Drosophila melanogaster: one gene and its partner. The protein of the gene in region 2 interacts with the protein of the main gene of each other region in a pairwise test. Each region holds a gene or a part of one and is shown on either strand. Other genes may lie near its edges.

Region 1 (8,260 bases), on a different chromosome or scaffold from region 2:
GTTATCACTGAGATCCAACCGGTAGTCAGAGTCCAAAATTCCCAGGGCATTGGGGGCTCCACTGCCCACGGCGAAAAGCTTTCCATGGATCCGCAGGCCGTTGGAGTCCACGTATACCAAACTGGGTCCTTCGGGCGACCAACCGGCCAGCATCATTCCCATGCAGAGACCCATTCCCTTGTATTCCGCAGCCACGTTGGAGATATATTTGGCAGCAGATTGGACTGGAAGTCGCTCCTTATAGCGGAGCTCGTGCAGTCGGCACTCCCTGGTCAAAGCTCGATCCCAGTATGTGCAATCCGCTGCACCACCTGCAGTGGTACCCATTATGTACTGGTTGACCTGTACGACCTTATGTATGCTCTGAGATCCAATTAACTTTCCCGACGTGGCTCTGGAATCCACACACAAAATGATGCCACCTTGGTAAACAAAACCCACCGTGGTGGTTCCGTGGTCAAAATCTATCTGCACTTCACTTAGCGCATTCAGTTTTTTCACACTTTCCCGTGGATTTTCATATGGCGGAGCCATTATGGCGAGGGGATTATCCATGTTACTCGATGCGACTCTGATTTCTTCAATTGTCTGCTTCGAGGTGCGATATCCAAAGCTCTTCATAAATGGCAGCTTATCCATACCACAAATACTTTCCAGGGCCATGTTGTACAAATGGTTATATTTGAAGTTTAAATGTTGTTGGTTATACTTTAAGTATGTTGAAATCTTTTATATCTGACTGATCTTTCCTGGCACCTATGAAGTTTAAAAAAAATATCCAGCAATATATTTGCGCCACCACCTAAGCGGAACTCAATAAAAAGCACGCCAACAATTTTGTATTTACAATATTCTCGTGATAAATTCATGCTGCTAGATTGTATTTTTTTCGGTCGGTTTTGGCAGCATTTACCCATGTGCAGATTAAAAATATGTTAGCCATGGGTTTTATGAGTTTTCGCATTTTATGAGGTTCCCAGGATATGACCAAGAAATGGAAGCCGAAAATTGAATATTAAATAACCTCAAGCAATAAACAGAATTACACGGCGTGTGAATGTTGTGTAGTTGGATGTGTGAATTGTTTATGATATTAATATCCGTTTGTATGTGCAATCATTTAAAAAGGATTACACGATTAGCATTTGACGGCGGTTATATATAAACGCTTGAGGCGATGCGGAAATTGTCGTTTATATTAATTTTCATGGCTTAAACATATGTTAAATGGCTGCCAATGCGGATTATGAGATATTCGGCGTTGAAGAGGAAACGTCACCAAATGTAAGAACATATTAAATCTTAAGGTAGGAATTAAATTTATACTCATTAAATGTAAACATGACGTAATAGGAAAATATCAATATAAATATTTATACTGAAAATATGGTTGATTTTTATACCCTTGCAGAGGGCATATTGATTTCAGTGAGATGTTTCCCTTTCTAGTGTAGTGGATAAGGAAAGTGGATGTATAACATAATAAGCATATAAAAGTATATCAATGGACCAGATATTAATTAATCGAAATAATCGAAAAATAAATGAAAGTAAAGAGGTCTTTGTTGTTTTTAAAAAATGATTTTGTTTGTTATGCCACCAGTTTCCAACAAATCGTATCTTCGTATCTTATGAAACTTAATTTTTTTTAAAACTCCTGAGACCTCGAAAATCCCAGAGTCATCCATTAACCAAATTGTTGGGGTAATCAATTTTAATGTTCGACCTGACCGTAGGACCACAAAACGCTCAACTGTGTGCTCAAATGTGTGCGGCCTGTCAAAGGTTAAAGGCGTTTTGTTGTATTGCCAAATTTGCTCTTGACCAACGGCAATGGCGACAAAAGTGGGTGGACCCCTATGAAGACCACATTGTCAATCAGGAATTCCTTAAACACAGCAATGCTCCGCACCGTTTATCCCCTTCCTCAGCGATTCTCTGGTTTATTTGCCAAAGTCGAAATGGCAAACACTTGGTCTAGTCCTCCGAATTGGGTTTGTATTTGGGTTTGGGACTGCCCACCTGATCCAAGCCGGCTGCTGTGTCGAAATTTATGTATTGCAGTTGACTTATTGGGGTCACAACATCCCACTTCGGACCCCGACCTCACCGAACTGGGCTGATTCGCTTTGATTTGGCCAGAATGCCCCTCAGCTGGCCAACCGTGTGTGTCGAAGCTGCGTTTTGTATTCGGTTTTGGCCAGCTCCGGGGGAAGTACCCTGTTTAATGAGAGCTAATTATGTTTAATTATTCATTTGGGACGGTGACATTTTGGACTTGGAGAGAAGGACCTATTCTTTCTCAGCATGTGGCAGCAGAAGAAATACAAACAAATTCAATCAATTAGGTAAAACACTTGGAAAATATAATTTTTTTAAATTATATTTATTGAAGAATTATTTGTTGTGACGCATATATTGAATATTTGGTAGTTTTCATAATATTCATTTCATCCAAAAGAAAAATATAACGTTTAATAATATTAATCTTCTAAAATAATCTATGTATAACGAATTTTAAGAAATATTAGTGTTATAATTTACAATATTATAAAAGCATCATTATGGGGATTGTACAAAATTATAAATTTATAAAGAATATAAGCATATTGATTTCTACTTCCGTAACGGAATGGTCATTATATTATTTCATATTTTGCCCCGAGGTTTTGTTTTTGGTTATTATAGATTTCATATCATCAGTCGCAGATAAATCAAAAGAATTATCGAAATTTGTAACATCATGGCACACGTGGATTGTAATCATCGCTAAAGGTGTATCCGAAGTACAGGATTTTTTTTTCTGTCCCGGACTCAATTTCTATTTTAATGGTACTACTATTTTCATTTTTAGAAATACTCTTTGGTGGGCTTTCTGTACAGTTTTTCTCATTCACAGTGTTTCCAAATGTATAGTCTGGTAAAGCGTCGGGATTATCTTTTATAATTGTATCCCCTGCACCATGATTAGTTTTCATATTATTTTTAATAAATGGAGTTTTTTTTTTTAATGACTTGCGCTCAGATCAACATGGTCCTAAAATGTTTCTCATCTTTCCTTTGTTTTCGTTGAAGTCAAATGAAATATTCTTAAAAGGAGGACAGGAAACCAAGTCATTTTCACATTTTGACTTGGACATCCGTTCAGAGGATTCATTATGTTTCATCATTTTTTCTGGTGCAGCTTTCATACCTCCACTCGTGTATTGATCTAGACATTCCTTTAAATCAAACTCTAATGATTGGGTCCCATGTAAATCTTTCGGAAATTGGAATCGACGTTTAATGCTATTGGAATTTTGCTCTGAATTGAGTTTATGGCCACCTGATTCATTTTCTGTACTGATTTTAATAGGTTGTGTTCCAGATGTTTCATCTTCAGCTGCTACAGTGTTTTCTTTTCTCTCTAAATCAATACTAGAAATGGTTACCTTTTGTGCAGAATTTATAAAAAAATTTATATGAAGGGAATAATCCTGCCTATGGTTAATTTCATTGCTATCATTTGCATTCGATTCGATTTTATTTGTAATACTTTCGATCGAGTTAACTTGATCTGGAAATTTGTCAGCTAGGTGAATGTCACTTAATTTGCTAAGGTTCGATTGTTTTTCAGCTAATCCATTTTTAGTGCCACCGGTTTCATTTGCTTTATATTCAATCAGTTTGACTTTAATCTTTCTTATATCCATCAAATCGACCATCATCGGTTCTTTTTTGTTTGTATCTAGTGTAGGCAATTCGTTTTCCATACCTTTGATGTTATGTTTAGTGTGGTATTTATTTTTCGAAATATGTTTAGTAGGAGCGATCATTTTCGGAGAATTCCCAGTTCTTTGGTTGCTGGTTGGGTATTTGGCTGTCTCAGCTGTATTGTTTCCTTCTCCAAGTCTTTCCAAGAGCTCATCGATTTCTTTTCTAATACCATCAACTATTGTATCTGTCAAGACTTCAGAATTAAAGCTTATAAGCTTACTTAGCATATCAAGAACTTCATCTGTCAAGTTTTTTATTAAAGCACTGTCCTCTTCTGCTTTCAGCATAAATGCATTTAAGTCCGGTTCGCTATGATTCACAAGTTCCGCAAGGCCTTCACGTGCCTTTACCATATTACCATTCATTTCGGTCTGTCCCTCAGTTCCTATTGCGATTTGAGGTAGTGCTGTTTCCTTTTTGTTCAAATATTTTTGCGTCCAGAGAAGTATTTCTTGTTGAGAATTCACATAATACTGATCAAGGACGATTTTCTTTATTGATCCTTTTAGACCTGCAATATTCATCTGAATCCACTCCAAGGCGTCGGGCAATGTGAAGCTCATCAGGTGGCCGCTGTTTTTTATTTCTATGCACTTTGATTGGGTGGGCGTGTACGCGATAGTCAAAAAAATATCATTTTCGTCATTCCTGACATCAAAAGTTGTCTCGGCACTGTTGTCTTTCACCGTTTCTTTAACTTTTTCAATAGCCCTTTCCCAAAGCTTAATCTCGTTTTGTTCTTTTAAGTGGCTCTTTTCCATAATTTTCGCCCAGTCATCATAGTCCCTTTTCATATTTGCTATCTCGCTGTAGAGCTTCGAGACTTTATCTGCAGTGCTAGCACTTGACTCCTTTTCTGATTTCAAGGTTAGATTCATCTTATTCTGGCTGTAAAATACACTTTAAAATTCATTGGTATTGATATTTCTTACCAAATATACCTTTTTTTTCTCGAATTAAATATGTTCTGATAGGCTATAAATCTTGACTGAGCACTTCAACTTGCTTGTTAAACGTACAACTCAAATGCTTATCTGTTTGTTTTTTTTTTTTTGTATATGTTTGAAATTTGGAAAAAGGCCTACTTAACACTTATCGATAAGTATACAAACTTATCATCACGTATGAATTCCAATAGACAACTTGTGAAAAACTTCTGAACTTTAACATCTCCACCACGGTATCAGAAACTTGATAGTTTGCCCACCTTTAAATACGAGGTATGTTCCACAAGAACGCTCCAAAGTATGCGGCAACAATTCATCGCCAGAACAAGGCTTTTAATCAAGCCAAGGACTTAGCCTCGCTTACAGGCGAGTTTGTATGTAGCACATGAATGTTAACATCTTCCTGCACATATATGCGCTCTTCGGAGACAGAGGAAACATAATCACATGCGTAGCTGCCATTTCCGTTGCATATTTACAGGGGCCGTCTCCTTGGACCGCCCGATAATATATAACTGCGATTCGCAGGCTGTAAATTTTGACTTTCAATGAGAGCATGGAATTTGACATTTACTAATTGCCGGATTATACGGCTGAAGACCCTCGTGAAGATGCAAGGACTCGAAATGCATTCCTCAATCGAAAAACTCTCATTTGTGTAAACTGAATGGCAAACATCTCGCAAATGAAACGGGTTAAGCCGCTCTTCACTTTCCTGCCGAAGATAGTAGAGCCAGGAAACTCGACTTAGTTCTATTTCCGCTCGAGCGGAGGAAATACAGCATCTGTCATCGGCATATCGACGGCATTAATTAATCAACGTTATGCATGTCAATCAAGAAGTGTGCCAGCCATCTCTTTCTAATGCTCGCTGGCATTTTGCTCCTTTTTTCTTCCGACCAGAATATCACTTTCGCAAATTGAAGTTGCCTTTCCTGTTTCTCGATTTCTGTTGTTGCATGTGTGGCTGTTCATGGCAAGTCATGCATATTCATTGTTTACAGACGCACAAGCACCCACAAACATAAACAATCACTTGGCAATTTTACCTGATTTCTTTTCAAAAACATCGAACTCCACTCCACCCCAATTAGTTTCCAATTCTCTTTCCGGTTTATTTTCCATTGGATTTGGAATTGTTTGGGGGCGACGTATTTGGAAATCAGCTCAAATGCTCAAATATCTATTGCTTGCCATTTGTGCAATTAACCGAAAGTTTTTGAAAATGGAAAACTCGGAAATCAGAAAGTTTAAGATGGATTAATTCAATCTTATGGCAAGTATTTTGTGATTGATTTTTGAGTTTTGGCAAGACAGAACATTTTGAGTCATTCAAAACACTCACCATAATTTGAAACACCGTATAATTCTCCACAAGTATCAAAAGCTAACGCCTTTTTATTGGCAATTTGCCTACCACCAACAGATACACGTTCTCCTGCTTTCAATTTATATTTATTTATTACGTTGGACATTCATAAATTCGATGTTGTAGGGCCCATAACAATCATAATCTTCGATATAATTTCCACTTTATGGTTGCCCAGCTGCTAGGCGATAAAAATTTGCACATTGATATGCTTTTATGGTAGCAAACAATAAAATAAGGCAAGTAAACAAATAAACAATGTATGGAACATCAGAGAGCAATTTCAATGCAAAGAGCCTCAAGAAACACAAGCACATGCTAGGCATTCTTCCCATTTCCTTACTCGCTCGAATGCAAAAGCCTACAATGTGTTGACAGTCTATAGACAAAAGGTTGCTCGCAAAGGATGGCTAGAATAACTTGTAATTTGACAAAATCCATAAACCATAAATTCCTGGCCAAACCAGCACTTAAATTGCCACATCCGCCAAAGGAAATTCCTCCATTGTCTTTGTCAGTAGATTTGTGCCAAGTCCCGAAAAGAAAACTGTCTCGTAATCGCAGGCAATAAAAAAACAGAAACACATAAAATATTATCGAATACAGTAGAGCGAGTAGTTGGCAACCCTGGGAGCCGCATAAAAATCCCTCAAGACCATAAATCGCCATCAGCCAGAAACCATCACGACTATTAGGTTAAATCAACCCAAAGACACGAGCCGAAATCAGCATTGGGTAAATTTAGTGCCCACTTTTGGGTATTTATCATGCAATAGTCGTTCCCATTCAATGAAATGTCCAATTAAAGGGCTTGTTCTGTGATTTCTTATATGTAGCTTAAGCTCAAACGATCTGCAGATCATAAATTCGGAATGATCTTAACCACTCCTCATACCTAAAGTTAGTCTTTCATTATATAGAAATAGAAATATAACGTTAAAGAAAAGAAAATTATCTTATTAAATGGAAATGTAATGTTAAAAGACAAACGAATCATACAGTTGCTTAAATACTGAATTCTGTAACAGAATTTCAAGTGTTGACAAATGTAACAGCATGGGATTTCCACAAAAAGGAGTACTATTCTGAACAGAAAAATAGGGTTTTCATGCACTTTTCCCTGAAACTAAGTTTACTTCCAAAGAAAAGAGAGTCGAAAAAGTGAAGGGAATGATGAAAGGAAGAAGCTGGCAAACATTTCGGCGCTTTCAGCTTCAAACACATGCAGACAGCTTAAGCGCTTGATGCTTGGCTTTTCCTGAGAACCACCCGGTATCCGGAGTAGCACCCAAACCACCCAGACTGCATCGGTTATTAAATTTGCGTGGAACATCCCTTCGGCACTGAGCAGGTTATGCCTTCGCCTGGGATGTGCGGTAGCCTAGCTCATAGTTTACGGAGTTAGTTGGCCTAACTAAGTTGTGCACCAATTCGAAAAGTTTAGGCCCAACTTGGATCCCCAGCTCACCGAAAATGCGATTAGAATCTATAGAACTTTGGCCCAAGTAGAAAAGAGGATAAAGAAAATAAATGGCCGACAATTGAATGTTTAATAAATTGATATACAATCGAGATTAGACTATTAAACAATGGTGCAATTTTTAAAAATGCTTTAACAGAAATATTATCAAAAGTAACACCCATAATACAAAGTAATAAAATATTGCTTACTTGCCTCTGCAAGTAGAAATTTATTGGGTCATACTCGAAGTAAGTTTAATCGTTTCGATTCTTTATTGCAAAAAGTTAAGTTTTTTTGAGTAAAATTCGAGATCCTTGTTGTGACATACTCCCACCTCAAACTGATTCTAATACCGAATGTTGAGCTGTCGCAGGTTTCCACAGTCCCAGGGTTGACTCCTGTCGAATCTGGACATGTCCTGAGTTGTGAGTCCATCCCCATTTTCGTCCTGGTTGTCTGGGAAATGGCATTTGAGCACGCCCGCACAATTCAATTAATGGGCATTCAAATGATATAAACCTACTGAGGCATTTTTAGTGCAGCCGGCCAGTCCTGTGCTCCGTTTCATTAGCAGCCGCCCCGAGTGGATTGAGGTAATGCCAGGGGATGCATGAGAACTAGGCAGGAGCTAGTGCAAAGCACCTAACATCCCCTTCCCCTCCCCACAAAAGACCCATGACAACTGCAGCACGTGTCGCATGGCCAAAGAAAAACAACAGGTGCGAG
Region 2 (7,034 bases):
TTGAAAAGTACAACAATTTTGAACTAAAAATTAAACATTCAATTAAACTAAAGCTCATTTAAAAGTCGTTGTTGAAAACTAGAGATACAGTTTGCTTGTTTTTTAGTCTGCTTTTGCTGCGCTTTTTTTTTCACTTTGCGCCAGGGGCATTCAATTAAGCGGCTCGTTGGGCCCGTGCCCCATTACCCTTGGCCCCCTCCGCCCCGCTCAAATCCCCTTACCCCCCCACCCCCCCTCTGTGATAAGTCGCCCGGAGCGGTCAGCTATTAGTTTGGTACATTGTCGAGCGACTATAACAAACGCTGATGCCTGATGGCCGCGATTGCTGCCGTAGCTAATTAAATGCAGCGCCCAAAACTTTGTAATTGCCTGCACGCAGGATGGCGCCATTGGGTCTTTGGAGGGTTAAGCGAGGTCGTTGGATCTGTGCCCTGGTGGGCACATAAAGTGAAAATCCGTGTCATTGGCGCTATCACCTCGGTTAGCTGGACGCGAGATGGCCATATAACTGGCCACTGGCCACTGGCCACTGGATTGTGGTCAACCGTTGGCCGGCTGATTGGCGCTGCTGATGGATGGATTGCATTTAGTTGGCCAACTTATTGATTAAAGGCATGCAGCTCTTTGGCAAAATCAAAATTGATTGCATGCCATTTGAATTCTGCTCTATGCATGCAACTATATGGTGGTTAATTGGTACGTAAATATAATCTTAATATATATATTTAAATTGATCATTCTTTCTGCAGTTTCATGTCGGCGGAAAATTCCCCTTTTTTGGTTTTCCGGTCTGCCGCTAATGTCCACTGTGACATGTGGATTTTAGTGTCGCTCTATGGCCTTTGTGGCCGACGTGGTTTATTATCCTCCCTATGCCGGTTTTCTTTTTTTTTTTTTGCTTTGCCTTTCTTGGCAGCCTCATGGCAAGGCATTTGTTAATATCGCTGGCTTAACTAAGTCCCAATGACTTTTATATGATATTCGGTGCACAGCCACATTCGCCCATATAGCCTTGTGTGTGTGTGTGTGTGTGTGTGTGTGGTTGTACAAGCTTTTCGATTGCCGTTTCGAAACTGAAATGGTCGTAAAAATACCACAGCAAGTTGTCCTTGTTCCTGTTCAGCTGCCATGTCCTTTCACGTCTGTGTGGCCACCGCCTTTGATGTTCCTTTGGCAGCCATTCAGCCGTCTTCATCCCCGCCAAGTAATGAAAAGCGCGTTAAACCGCAATGCGTGCCGTTGTCTATGCCACACGCATACATACAGACGTAGAAGGGGCACACTGAAAGAAAATGTGTTTGAAATGTTTATTGTAGTTACAACGTAATGTTTTAAGTAGGAACAAACTTTTCAGCTAGCAGTGTTGTAGCTTCGTAGCTATCAGCTGAGTTATTCGAAATTTCTCGCTGTGTACACACAACACACACATTGAAAACCCAGCCCAACCGACACATGTGCTTTGCTGTGGGTTAGCTGCCCCGCCCCCTTACATCAACGAAGTAAATTGCTAGCCGGCATTTAATTTGATCTTTTGTTTGATTGTGTGCGTTTCGGTTTAATTGAATTTTATGATGATGCTGCAACACTCACACAGACGCACAATGGCATGAACCCAGGGCGTAATGGTTGAAATAAATTACAGCACTTAACTGTTAATGCAACTGTATTGAAAACAAGGCGAACAACACACAAATTTTGGTTAAATTGTTATAAACCAAAACAAATGATTTATTTAAATTATGGTCTCTGCCACAAATGCCGCAACATTTAAAGAGTCGGGTCCACCCTAATCAACGAGCTTATACCGAATGGCATTCCATTACAGTATCTATCGTTTGGGTCTTCGACAAAAAAAAACCATCCAACTGGAGGTGAAACACTTTGCTAGCCACTGAGTCTGAATTTGATATTCATATTCCATTACGCAGTGGTTTTAATTTCACTGCATAAAACGGAGGTGGTTTTGGCATTGTTTTTCTTTTTGCGGTACCTCTGGTTTCAGCCAGCCAGCCAGCCAGCCAAACCGAACCGAACCAAAGCGGCCATCAACGTCAAGTTTGCCGCAACCACAGCTGCATCAACAACAAAACTGTCAACATCCAATAATACATCCGCAGATATGCAACAAAAATTGAAACACAACAAATGTAAAAAATAAGAGGAGACTGCGGCACGAATGCTGACTCAATGACATCGCCGGACATTATGAAATTTTCAACGCGACTGCATTATTAATACAATAAATAATAAATGCGGACAAAGCGCGGAGGAGCAACCATAATAATGACAACAATTCGTGGCAGGACGAAAATGGTAGCACAACCGAAAACGAGCAACCGCAATCATGAAATGCATAGGGATATCGACTGACCAATTCTCTGATCCCAAAAGGAATGTAATAGGTGCACAAAAATAATAGTGATTATAGCTGAAAATAAATATTTCACTATATTCGTTTAATTGCATTTCCAAATGCAACATTGCGTATGAGTAATGTGCATCTGGGAAAATTTAACAGCGGGCTTAAAGTATATTACAATGCTCTCTTTTAAGCTTTTGCTCTATATTTTAACTTTTTTTTTGTTCATTTAAAATAATTATTTAATTATCCGTCATAAAGTAATCAGTTTTTTGGCCACAACTTTAAAAATAATTGTCTGAATACGGAATGTCATATCACGTTGAGTTCGTATTTAAATTCCCAATCGAACTGTGTTCAAAAATGGGAATTCCATTTTTCAGCCATTTTTTGCAAATTTTGATGATGTTACCCCTTACCGAAAATGCGAAAAATTGCAAAAAAAAAAAATCACTAGAAGCATCTAATAAGCTTAGCTTTGCTTACTCAATTCACAAAACATCTTTCTTTCTTTCTTTACTACCAAAAAGTAGAAGTAACTAGTGTTTTACATATAGAAACTCGTAAGATAAGCCAAATGCGATATCGATTCTAGGCTAATAATTTTATATTTGTTTGTATTGCATGGTGTGCTCTGCATCTTTTAAGACTCCAGCGAATGGGTGCTTTCGACGATGTTGAAGGCCACTCTAGAAGTGCCAGAATTTCGTACAGGTAGCTCCCTTTTCCAAATTTTCCTATTAAAGGCCGGTCCAATCTCGGCCAATCTTTTGGTGCCCCGCACCGCCGGATCCACCAGTTCGGCACGCAGTCTCTTTATGAACTTGTCCAGCCGCGGAATGCACTTGTCCATCGATGACTTACAGGTGGAATTCACGAGATGCTCCGGCTGCAGACAGACGATGGCCATTCGTTTGCTGGTCGAGTTCTGCAGACTGATCACAAGATCCCTGCGACTCAGTTTGGCCATAAGGATATACTGACCGGCCAGACCATCCGTGTAGTTCAGAGTGTATCGATCGGCATCTCGATTCCAGTGATCGGGCAGCTGCTCACACACAGTTCCACATCCTCCAGCCAACTGCCTTCCGTCGGATGCTGAATAATTGATGGCGCAACGCAGGCGGTACTCCTTGGTGATCAGAAAGTGGGTGACAGCTATCAAGAGATCGGATTTTTTGCGAATATGCGACTGGATCGAGTGGAGAAGCAACTGCCAGTCGTGGGCATCGATTTCCGTTTCGCTTTTCAACATGGCTTGGCCCTTTCCAGCTACTCCAATTCCCAGAGATTGGAGCGACATCTCGCTGAGAGTCGACAGTGAAGTGCAGACTGGCGATTCCATGGTGGTTAAATTGTGAACATCTTTGCAAAGGTTGAAGGTTCGAGTTTTTAGAAACAACAATTTTGAAAAATTCTGACAAAGCCTTGGGCGAATTTAAAAGGAAACTAGATTCTTAATTTCGTACGCCAGCCTAAAGACTTAAAAGTAATAAAGAGTGTGTATTGTTTTATACTTTTTTTTTTACATTAATATAAATGCGCATTTCACATTATTTTCGTGCGATTCCTGGTGTCTGTGGTTAATGTTGTTAAAATGTTTTATTCGCACAGCCTGGCAAATTGCAATTGGCAGTTGATTTTTGCAGGACAGGAGTCCTGTGTTCATGTCCATGTCCTTGCCAGTTAAGTTCTCTCTCCATTCATTTTTCAGTTCATATTTTCTTTTTTTTTACGCTGTTTGCAGTTTCTTTTTGCCTTGTCACTTTTTTGTTTGTTTTTATTCAAATTTGCATGCTTAACATAATTCATTTCATTTCTGCTTTTCCGCTTTTCCACTTTCCGCCGCCCCTTTTTGTTTGGGATGTCATCGCCGGGTCGTCTGAATTGATGCCGGATTCAATTGGATGCCAGCAGCTTGCCAAGGTCCTTTGTTATGGGACCTCCCTTCCCACTCCATATAAATATCTATATATATATATATATGTGTATATATACGTCTCTATCGAAATATCTGTGTATATATGCCAGTGTTCTTTGGCGGCAATTTGGGGGATTGCTCTCGGTTTGCTTGCGGCTGGCTCAAACGGCTTAAACGATTGCGGCCAAGTCAAGTCGGTAGCTGATATCGGGCGAAAGCGAGTAATAAATGCGCATCGCATCCACAACCGGAAATAGACGGCGCGTTGCTGCCGGGTCGACCGGAAATGGCTGGGGATCCTGATGGGGTTTCAAATTTAATGCGGTTCAACCTGCAAATGCGTTAAGCAAGTTATTTATTACTGGCAAACGTAACGTCTCAGTTCAGCTAGATTGTTTTTCGGAATTTATTTTAGCATTAAGGGATATTTGAAAAGTACTTAATGCAGTTGTGTGTCAACTTTAAAAGCCACACAAATTATATTTTATCAGCTGGTTTTAAAAATAACTGTGTTTTCACAATTCAATTTAATTCACTTTTTCATTTCGAGTAGTGTGGGCTTCTATAACAGATAGCTTTATACACTTTGTAAATTAATATAGACATGTTTTTCTTTCAAAATAAATAGGACAGAAAATTGAAAGCCCCACGGGGCCTTCAGTTTTAATTCAGTTTGACCTGCGTATGCGCACAGTAAGACATTTATTCCGGGAAAATAAACAAGTTAAATGCCTCGAATCTGCAAAGAAAAACATTAAATATTTTATTTCACAAATTAAGAGAGACGTGTTTAATATGCGCACCACAGGCATACAAACTAAAAAGTTGCCAGCGAAAAATTCCAAAAGAATGAACTCAGCTTTGTGCGTAATTTAATTTATGGTCAGCATTTTCAATCATTCGATTATTTGATTAAAATGTTGACGGCTTACATAAAATGCAATATAAATTGATATGCACACAGCAGGCACAAATGTAGCAGTTAAAAAAAATAATATAGTTCAGTTGTTTAAAATAAATACTTTAAAATGTTCCTTTTGATTTGTTACAAATAGAAATTAAGAAGCATTTCAGATGTTGTGTCAAAATTGATTGAGTAGCTCAGTTGCTGAAAGTTGTGAGTTTTATTTTATAGTTTATAAGCTATTGTGAGATTTTACCTGTTATGTATGAAATCTTTCACAATTCAGTTGCATATATTGTGCGATTCCATTAAAATTCTGCAAAACCAAAATGCAGAAAAATGATTCTGTGAGCATAATTGAATTTGCTATATTTTTAATGAACCGTTTGTGCTATTAAAACTGCGGCGACGGGCACGAAACTTATTTGGGAAATCAATAATGGCAACCAAAAATAGCAACAACATGTAGAAGGGATGTGGGGAGGGGGGAGTGGGGAGTGGGGGCAAACATAACAACATCACAAACTCAGCGATGGTAAGGGGAATTTTTGTGGCAGACAGGAAGAGGAAGGAGGTGGGCAGGGTCATGCCACATCCATGATGCCAATGGTCGCCGCAGAGATTCTGCAGTTGCCTGGCTGACGCGGAAATGGCGTCGTTAAATTGGTTCCGCATCCGGTTGCCATTGCCCTCGCCCAAATAACCCACAGGGACAGAGGTGGCGGCAAAGGACAGGCACGACGACGAGGAGGCTGAAAAGCAGAACGAGGATAGTTGAAGCTTACTGCTATTTGACTGCAGCTCGATGACGCGATGCAACCCCCGAGGCAGCCGTCAAGGAATCCACTTTGCACTTACATTTCCTCCACGACCGCCTCGCCATGCGAATGGAAATGCTGGCGGAGATGCGAGTTGCGTATGGAAATGGGTTTGGGATTTGTATTGGGACTCTGGTATTGCCAGCAGGACTGCCAACCGAAGGATTAGGATAATTGTGTGCCCAAAGTGTTGCCTTTAGCTGTCGATTGAGAAGTGATTAACCAAAAACGGTCAGCGATTCGTGGCTTATCGAGGCAAAACAGCAGCGTCCACAAAAGTATATACCACTATCTGCAGCTAATTTAAGTAGAGTAAAATATATACTAATTGGATGAACTTTAAGTGGCGCAAGGGCACATTATTTATTGATATTCTTTTGTGACAATATGTTGAATGTTGAAGACACATATCACAAGTCTTGCGCGCCAGAATCTTCAGTGTAGATTGATTGGGTTCGATGGCCGGATCAAGTTCGCCTGCAGCTCGTGTGGCATCTGCATAATTAATGCCCCGTGCAGCGGCGTCTGTGCACAAACACCTGAACAGCCAGCTCCTCACCTGCGGAAATTCAATTAACTTTGACTCGTTTGCCTGCGAGGGGGACGCACAGCCATGGAGGCGTCAATGAGTAACCGCAATTGATATAAATTTGAAATTTTGCAGCCTCCACACACAGATCCTTTTATGGTCGGGCTGCGCCCTTTTTGGCTCAAATGAAAAATTTAATCTCCAGCCTAATGGCTGTCGTGTGTGTGCTTAAGTGTGTGTGTGTATGTGTGTGTGTGTGTGTGCAGGAAGGTCCTGTCTGCGCCGGCTGCACTTAATTCGCTCCTCGAGTTGGCCATAAAAAGGCGTCCATCGACCGAAATGAAATAAAAGTGCGCTTGCAATGTGTGTGTAATAAATTTTCAAAGTATTCAGACGGTTAACCCGTTGCGCGCTGCACCAGAAAAAACTATGTGCCACGTTTCTGAAGCCAAACAAAAAGCATCAAAAACTGTACGGCATGGCTATAATATTTAACTTAATTA

Evidence for each region. The genes of interacting proteins can lie anywhere in the genome.
Region 1: the proteins of CG12729 (region 2) and CG5681 interact in a two-hybrid assay, tested with the Drosophila melanogaster proteins (one large-scale study listed by BioGRID).

Annotation. Positions count from the first base shown.
Region 1 is NT_033779.5:17,982,902-17,991,161, reverse strand, and holds CG5681 (uncharacterized protein), read right to left. Parts: upstream 4,764-8,260; 5' UTR 4,698-4,763; intron 4,645-4,697; 5' UTR 4,635-4,644; coding exon 3,027-4,634; 3' UTR 2,543-3,026; downstream 1-2,542. Other genes in the region: Prosbeta5R2 (proteasome beta5 subunit-related 2), read right to left, coding at 1-663.
Region 2 is NC_004354.4:5,842,023-5,849,056, reverse strand, and holds CG12729 (uncharacterized protein), read right to left. Parts: upstream 3,778-7,034; 5' UTR 3,705-3,777; coding exon 3,003-3,704; 3' UTR 2,951-3,002; downstream 1-2,950.